Linked DNA regions of Daphnia pulex. The protein of the gene in region 1 binds, or shares a complex with, the protein of each later gene. Links are inferred from orthologs where the notes say so. Each region holds a gene or a part of one and is shown on either strand. Other genes may lie near its edges.

Region 1 (4,343 bases):
ATAACTACTTTCTTATCTTTGATGCCCTGATAAGATATTACGATTACATTCATTTTTCACAGACTGTAGAACTCGTTCTATTTCCCTATTCACCAATCTTTGTGAAAACATAGCACCGGCCTACAAAAAACATGCAACGTATGGACGAGCCACTCTTTAATACTGTAGGCCTATATAGACTTATGCTTCTCATCAATTGACCAGGACTGATAAATTCAACAAGAAACTCGAATTTGCTTTAAATAAATTAGAAATTTTCAGTATATACCTGCTGCAAGCAAGAATGAAATGGATACGGAAATGGATAAGGAATGGCGAGGAAGGGAGACTCGAGCAAAATGCGACGATTCGTTTCAACCTTTTTTCTCGGAACAAACGTATCGAAACCCCCCTGCTGGTGAGCTATGAGTAATGACTATTCGCTGTTTTTACTTTTTAATTTTTTGTTTTTTTATTCCTTCTCTTTTATTTCTTTTTTATTTTATATATTTTTTAGCCAATTTTATTATTTTTTGTCAATAATATTATGCTCCTAACTAGTAATTATAGCCTATAATTAGTCTAATGTTTACAAGCCAAGTTTATTAGACATCATATACGTTAAAAGTTAGAGGTCGGGGAATTCTTTATGTAATAGGCTATAATAAACCGAAAATAATAACGTAATTCCATTCGGAAATAAGAATAAGAACAATTAAAGTACTAGCAGCCCTAGCTACTAATAGAAGACGGTAATACCATACAAATGCATTTCTCGTCCACCCCAACTAAATAATAGGCTACAAGTGAACCAAAACTGAGGTTAGAGAGTATGACAGAAGACTAACGTATATATGCGCTGGTGAAAGATAAAATTGATGACTTTTCTTCTATAGGGGATAATACACCTGACGCTATTGGCCCCGTCCCCATTGTAGAAAGTGCCTCTTCAGCCTATTGGTCCAATGTTATGCTTTCACATAAATTTCAAGAGGAGTCTAGTCTCTATAGTGTGTCAAAGAATAAACCATTTGTCACTTTTCTTTACATTGTCGTTTTCGTTTTGAAGGCAAATACCATTTTACCTCTCTTATTCCGTTCATCGCTCTACATTATTGTAATGTGGGGAAGTATTGTATGCACACTATAATAGTGTATAGTGCATCATTTATGCCATTTACATAAAAGCCGCGCAATTTATTTCTTACATATTTTTTGTTACTTGAATTATACAGGCCTACAGGGTTTTAAATAAAGGAATTAATATTAGACCTATAAGCGCACTCTTTTTATTAAAATAAAATAGACTAATGACTTAGGAAGCAGGAATTACCTAAAATGTTGATGTTTAACAAAGAATTAACATTTTATATTTTTTTTTCATAAAAAATCACTAATTTTAATAAGTAATAAAATAATAGCCCTTCTAACGCCTTGCCGGCCTTGCTAACGCAGCGATAATTGTATCAGTTTCATCCGCCAGGTGTCTGCTTTCTTTTGAATTTGACATTACCGCCAAATGTTAGTTCATGAAATGTCAACAGCACAACAGGAATAGGTTTGACTTGACATGTTGTGACTGACGACTTGACGAGGAAACAAAATTGTAACGTTGAAGATTACTACTTGTTCTTGTTGTCATGAGTGAATTCAAAATTCATCACGCTGTTAGCGAATTGATTGATTCGCTAGGGTAAGTTAACTACTTTGAAATACATAATCTAGGATTGGCCGTTGCCCGATCTTACACTGGAATACTTAATTCGTCCTTCCTACAGGCTCACTGACTTGGTTGCACCTGAAAAATTTGTGAAAAACTTGGTGACTTCTCCATCACAGGTCCAAATAACAAATGCTAGAGAGACTGTGCAAACTTTAGCAGCTTTGAGCTCAAATCCATCTGAGATAGTGAACAAGTATGAAGAACTACGGGACAAAAAGTAGGATTTACACCATTTTTCACAAAGTTTACAATCCTGCTAATGGTCATATTAATATTGAAACTTCAAGTTACGCTGAATTGGATTCTTTTGTCCTGATACTTTCAAAGATGAAAGAGTCTAAGACAATGACCCGCTCAGTCAGGGCTGGTTTGCCAAGAGAATCTGTCAAAACCTATTGCACTAGCACAGATAGCAATCAAGGATCTGGTATTTAAATTTTTTCTATATGTTTGTTCATGAATTTAATTACAGTAGAAGTTTTTTTCTAGGCCCATCAACATCCACTCCAATTGTGGTTGGAGGTGTAAAATTGAAGGAATTGAAGAGCAGGTTACAGACTGCAAGTGAGGGTTCATTAGGTCATAAAGTTACTGAACTAACAGAGAAGAGGGTCACATCTAGTGAAATTATACAAAAGAATCCAAAGTGGTTTCACACTAGACCCTTTCTTTCTTGGGACTTTCCTGTTGCTGGGCTATCAGATTCTCATCTACTTCAAGTTGCTCCTCTTGGAAATGTGCCTGTAGGAGATCAAGAAAGAATACTTTTAGAAGAGCTCCTTTATGTTCTCAGTGGGTTTGATGGCGATTACATACGTGCACTACCCTTAACTGCCAACGCCGACGAAAGAAAATTCGAAATTGATGATAGTAATTATTTTTATTCAATAATTATTTATTGAAAATTGTCAGAATAAAAATAAATTTTGTATTTTGTATTTTTTTTTTTTACAGGTGTCGACGATTCACTAAAAGAAATGATTCGAAGATTCTTCCCAATTTTAGCTTCCTATTCTATAATTGAGCGCTTCTACGAGAGTCGTTCTGGATTCGATTTCGGAATGGTAAATGACGCCTTGGCAGCGGCTATTGGCAACTTGGTTCATGAATATCGAATCTTTGTCTGTCAATTGGAAAGTTTATTGCTTAAGAACGAATTGAGTTTGCAGAAAGCTTGGTAATCTAAAGGTTTTATATCTAAGGTATCTTTAAATCAATCTTTTTTTTATATCTTTTAAGGTATCTTCTTCAGCCCAATGTCACGATATTGCATCAACTGCATCATGTCACGCTGTCATTAATGAGAGCTAAAGCTCAAGGCGGCCAAGTATTATCCGTTCTTCACCAACAGACCATGGAAGCGATGGGAAATGAGAAGCAACAGAAACTTTTGCTCTCACTTACCCGTTCTGCAGCCCAGCCATATTGGGAGATTTTGCAAAAGTGGATTTATCAAGGTTCAGTAGAAGATCCATATTTGGAGTTCATGGTTGAAGATCATCAAGTAGTATCCATGGACAAGCTCTCCCCAACGGCTTACAGTGACGACTACTGGGAGAAGCGTTACACTCTACGACGTGATCGAGTACCCTCATTCCTTCTCCCACTTACTGACCAGATTCTTCGTACCGGAAAATACCTTAATGTGATCAAGCAATGTGGTGTGTCCTAATCTTAAATTTATTCAATATCAAATCATCTTTATGCCTTAATTTTGATAGGAATGAAGGTGAAACCACCAAGGATTGATGACTTAGTGTATACACTTGACGGATCAGGCTACAAAGAAGCCATTGAAAAGGCTTACAGTTATGCGTCTGAGACGTTGTTGCACGTCCTCATGCAAGATTACGACCTTTTAGGTCGGCTCAAGTAATATCAGTTTAACCTCATAATGAATTGCATGTGACAATTTTAGCCGATTACTCTTGACTGTTTTAGTTTTTTACGCATTAGAATATGCATTTAATGCCTTAATGGTTACTATGTCTTGCAGGTCCGTGAAGCATTACTTTTTCCTGAATGCGGGAGATTTTATCTTGCATTTCCTCTCGCTATGCGGAGCGGAATTGGTGAAAAACGTTGATGATGTAATGCCCAGCCGATTAGAATCTTTGCTTGAATTGGCACTTCGCACTTCGACCGCCAACGCTGATCCCTTCAAAGATGATCTGGGACTTGAATTACTTTCCTATGATCTAACTACTCAGATGGTTAAGATTCTTTCGATCGAAACTCACGGAGAACGCGACAATCGCGGTATATAATCCTAGTTCGATACCTTCCCACATTTCAATAAAATAGATACATTTTTTAAAAATATTTAGGGGATGGGAACCACTCAATCGACCATGTACGGTTGACGGGATTGGAAGCTTTCTCTTTCATGTACCGTGTTCGATGGCCTGTTTCACTTGTGTTTACGACTAAAGTTATGGCGTGCTACCAGATGATTTTCCGACATCTTTTCTTGACCAAATATGTTGAAAATCTCTTGGGCCGGTAAGGATTTCCTTCAGCGCAATTAATTTTGTTGAAACTACTGATTTAATGACATTTTTAGAGTTTGGATTTCGCACAAAATTGTTCGCAATTATTCGTTTCCGACTAGCCAGTGGTACAACAACGCATTTGCTTTGCG
Region 2 (4,408 bases), on another chromosome or scaffold:
TATCAAAATGGCAAGAACTAATTCCATGTAGCAATTTGACGAGCACCTCACGTATTTGCTCCCGTCATTTTGACGAAAGTGACTTTAAATCAGGGATTGAAATTTTTAACGTGTTCCATCCTTTCCAACGTAGGCATCTTAATGCTGGAGCAATTCCCAAACATTTTCTCATAAATGGTATGTATTTCCTTTCCTGTAAAATCTTTAATGTCACACAGAAACTAAACCATTTTCATTTTAGATACAATCTAGCCGACAAGCAATGCAAAATGTTGATGGTTTTAAATGGAGAAATAACCTTAATGGTATTTTTACATATGTTTATTTTGTTTAACATCAAATAACGCTATTCTTAAATATGTATTGCAGTGGAAGCAAATGCTAGCAATGCATCAGTAAGGAAACGACCAAAAGTAGACAAACCACCTACTACGTCAAAGAGAAAAAAAGTTGACAGTACAGGTATTGATAATAGTTCTCTTTACATTTTATTTTGAAGAGCAATTGCTTTAATTTTAATCTTATAGCACCCTCCATGGAAGTTACCTCTACTATTCAAGAAACAATCGACATTCACCAGGCTGCTGAAGAAGGAATTGTTGATCCACTTCCTGATTCAATCAAAGAAAATCTTGCTGTTGTCATTGAAGATACGACAGTTGCATCGCCTTCTATGGAAGCTACCTCTACTATTCAAGAATCAATGGACATTCCCCAGGCTGCTGAAGAAGCTATTTTTGATCCACTTCCTGATGTAATGAACAAAAATGTTGCTGTTGTCATTGAAGATTCGACAGTTACATCACCTTCTATGGAAGCAAGCTCTACTAATTTCAAGTCTAATTTTGTGACATTTCAGTCACTAGTAACTTTATCAATGATACCAAAGAATTGGATATGGTCTTTTGATCAAATCAAACAAATGATTTATTGCATTTCGATGGATCAACTACCAAATGGAAATTATAATGTGAAAAGTGTACATTTTCAAAACAAACAAGAAGTAATGTATTATGTCAACAGAAAGAACATTCCATCAAGCACTACTGCTTTGTCAAACCATTTCACAACAGTTGAAAATATAACGCAATTGATAAAGGATTTCAACGATCGAAAAATTTGTTCATGCATTCCTCATTAAAGGTTCATAAATATTAACCTTTAATCTCGTCTTTCTGGTATATTGGACTCAGCTGGCGTGTTAAGATCGAAATATTGCAGAAAGAGAATAAAATTCAAAGTAACTAAGAATAAAACGTACCATGTATTTACACCACATTTTTTTTTTACACAACCAAACAATAAAATGTAAAAATGTGAGGACACTTAAAAAGATTGGACACTTTGAAGTTAGATAAAACTTAGAGGTTTGACAGTTGGATACTTCTCCTTTTTATTATTGTTTACTTCTTGTAGAAAAGTAAGCTGTGATTGGCCAATGAGTTTTTCATAGACCCTTCCTGATTGGCTGGCTTCACGTAGTAGCTGACACACTCACTAGAGGCGCTCATTCATTCTTCCAAATCGGCTTACGTTTACCCTGAAACCGGGATAGGGAAGCCAACACAGCCATGAACTGACCAGGTATCTATAGCTCTGCTATGGTTGCGTACTTGCTTTAACTACTTTCGAACACAAATGCGTTTTTTAAAATCCGGCAGCGTGGCCCTGTCAGACCCAGAAAACGTCTAAGCGGATTATTTGGACACGAGAAATTCGATAGAATTCGAATGATTCCTTAAACCAACCAGCAGTTTACGGTTTTATTTGTTTGACGTTTATTCGTGTTTTTAGATTCATTATTTGACCTTAATGTTTTACCCTTCTCGTACCAGTGTACTTGCTTTTGTCGCTCTCATTGCTGGCCTCTACCTCGCCCAACGTGTACGAACTTTTTTTATTACTTCTCTGTCACTTTGGCTGTGCTGTTGTGCTGCAAACTGATTGACATATTCATTTGATTTTCACTGTAGAACACAATGGAGGAAGAAAAATTCACCATCAGTGTAGAGTGGTATGATGACATATCTTCACTGGTGCGTCCATTTGTCTTGTTTTACTACCCCTCAGACAGGACAGTTGAAATGGTAAACACAATTGAAGTATACAAATAAAACTTTTAAATAATATTTCTTTTATTTAATAGTATGACAGCAAGCAAAAGAAAACATTTTTGAAGAGATCATTCTGTGAGACAGTGGCAGAAATCGATTTGTACATTGGGAACAAAATTTCAGTTTTTGGAAGAGAACTGAAGCTGATAGAATACCTCGACAATACAACCAAAACTGAATTGGCAAAGAAATCAGAAAGGTATGTAAAATGGTTATCTCAGTTCAGTGCAATTTTGTGATCAAGTGTAAATGAACTATAAATGTTTCCAGGACTTATGCCATGCTCAAACCTGAAGTCATTGAGCAGATGGGAAAGGTCCTATCCTTTATTGAAGGAAAGGGATTCAGATTCAACAAACTGATGCTGACCAAAATTGGTGCAAATAGAGCAGCGGAATTTTACAAGGAACACCAGGGTCGAGCATTTTATGAGTACGTGTGCAAATCACTTTTGTTAAATACGCTTTGATCATTTATCGTTTATTATCTACACAGAAAACTTGTAAATTACATTTCGTCCGGTCCTGTTCTCGCCATGGAACTGTTGGCCCCGTCAGCCATCAGGTATTGGCGAGTAAGTTTAGGACCAACCGATCCAGATGTGGCTCGCAGTGATGCACCCAACACACTTCGGGCCCTGTTTGGAAAAGATACTACATATAATGCTGCTCATGGATCGGATTCACCAGAAGCTGCTGCAAGGGTAAACTGTTGGTCAAAGAATCCATTGTGTGTTTCTTAATATTAAGGCATGTATTTCTCTTTCTAGGAGCTCAACTTAATATTCAATAATTTGAATAGCCATTACGAACCTTCCTACATCAAAACTTTGTGCCTTGTTAAGCCACACATTCTCCAAGAAGGTATACATTTTAAACTAGTGTTTTGCCATTCGCTATGGGAAACCAACGACTTTATCTACGTGTACCAATTATTTTTGCAGGGAAGTTGGGCGCACTCATCGCTGCCATTCAACAAAATAACTACAGAGTTTCTAGTCTGAAGCTTCACAGAATGAGTTTAACTGAAGCTGAGAAGTTCTTTGCTGCTTATAAAGGAGTTTGGGATGATTACCCGGTAATTCAATTGATCCTCTCTCCAATATTTTATCTTTAATCGAATTTATTTTCTTATCAGGCCCAAATCAAACATTTCACTTCAGGACCAGTCGTGGCATTGGCTGTAGATTCTGATGTCAATACATTCAGAGAATTTGTCGGTTCATTTGATCCGGTTAGTTTCATTTAAAAAATTTCTTAATTCTAAGTATTTTATTAACATCCGTTTTGTCTTTACTCTCTAGAATACTGCGCGGAAATTACATCCGTCGTCCTTGCGAGCCCGATTCGGACATGACATTACACATAATGCAATCCATTGTACCGACCTACCCGACGATGGTGTACGAGAGGTATGTAAATTTAACTTTTTTGTAATTGTGTAATTGTTATTGAATGTATAAATATTTTTATTTGATGATTTAAACAAATGTTTTTTTATTTCAAATTGATACAGGTTGAGTTCTTTTTCAAGGATGTTGGTGGGTTCCAGTAAAATAAAGGCAATATTGTGGACCATAATGCAATAACTGAACTCGTAAGCACCAAAACGGGAAAATTTCGGAATCGGGTAGAAGTAGGATAAACTAATGAAATTATGTGGGTGATGAACATCTAAGTGGGTATTGAACTCATCCTATAAAAAATTTGGGGGAAAAAATACAGCAATAATAATAACAAATATTAGTCTCTCTTTTTCCTGTAAAATCATTTAGGCTATTGGTGAGCATTGTGACTCAAAGCTTCAGTCAGGCAAAAAGAGTGCAGAAGATAGTGAAAGAAAAAACCCGCGACCGATTTGTTAGCCACACATTCTCACACAGCCTACCGAACCAACGATAAGAGGGATCCTCTTCTGTCTCGCAGTTTTGGCCATAAAAATTTGTAAGCGGCAAAAGCCATACCAGAGAAGAGCAGCGTCAAGAAGATAGTCACTGTTGGGTGAGATAGCAGTAATTAGTTAGGTTAATTAATAATAAGCAAAAATGGTTGTAGCACTCACAAAATACTGTTCCAGTGACGTTCGTATTCGGGCAAACCGTTGGGTTGTCAGTGTTTGAGATAAATTTCACTCTCCCTTCGTTTCCGTAAGTCAGTGGTGTTAATTTTTTTATGTACTCTCGGAGAAAAATTTCATCGCGAACGCCTGCCGAAATCAATTGAAAGTTTAGTTTATGATTACAAAAGATTACGAATGATGTCGACTGACCAGTGCTGTTTTTCAAAGCAAAATCT

The links.
Region 2: gamma-tubulin complex component 2-like (region 1) and nucleoside diphosphate kinase 7-like share a complex: the UniProt entries of both Homo sapiens proteins name them as parts of the gamma-tubulin ring complex. The link is inferred for Daphnia pulex from reciprocal best matches to the Homo sapiens genes TUBGCP2 and NME7.

The regions. Positions count from the first base shown.
Region 1 is NC_060019.1:11,566,105-11,570,447, reverse strand, and holds the start of gamma-tubulin complex component 2-like, read left to right. Parts: upstream 1-1,473; 5' UTR 1,474-1,619; coding exon 1,620-1,672; intron 1,673-1,757; coding exon 1,758-1,919; intron 1,920-1,989; coding exon 1,990-2,129; intron 2,130-2,191; coding exon 2,192-2,572; intron 2,573-2,656; coding exon 2,657-2,879; intron 2,880-2,941; coding exon 2,942-3,363; intron 3,364-3,423; coding exon 3,424-3,574; intron 3,575-3,698; coding exon 3,699-3,961; intron 3,962-4,029; coding exon 4,030-4,204; intron 4,205-4,265; coding exon 4,266-4,343. UniProt on the Homo sapiens protein: Component of the gamma-tubulin ring complex (gTuRC) which mediates microtubule nucleation.
Region 2 is NC_060026.1:2,936,829-2,941,236, forward strand, and holds nucleoside diphosphate kinase 7-like, read left to right. Parts: upstream 1-1,562; 5' UTR 1,563-1,812; coding exon 1,813-1,884; intron 1,885-1,973; coding exon 1,974-2,087; intron 2,088-2,146; coding exon 2,147-2,313; intron 2,314-2,384; coding exon 2,385-2,546; intron 2,547-2,609; coding exon 2,610-2,817; intron 2,818-2,883; coding exon 2,884-2,977; intron 2,978-3,057; coding exon 3,058-3,191; intron 3,192-3,251; coding exon 3,252-3,347; intron 3,348-3,417; coding exon 3,418-3,525; intron 3,526-3,585; exon of another isoform or gene 3,586-3,629; coding exon 3,630-3,668; 3' UTR 3,669-3,997; downstream 3,998-4,408. Other genes in the region: uncharacterized protein LOC124205225, read left to right, coding at 175-177, 242-305, 370-462, 528-1,141; 5'-nucleotidase-like, read right to left, coding at 3,998-4,107, 4,176-4,319, 4,383-4,408. UniProt on the Homo sapiens protein: Possesses an intrinsic kinase activity. Displays 3'-5' exonuclease activity with a preference for single-stranded DNA. Does not seem to have nucleoside diphosphate kinase activity.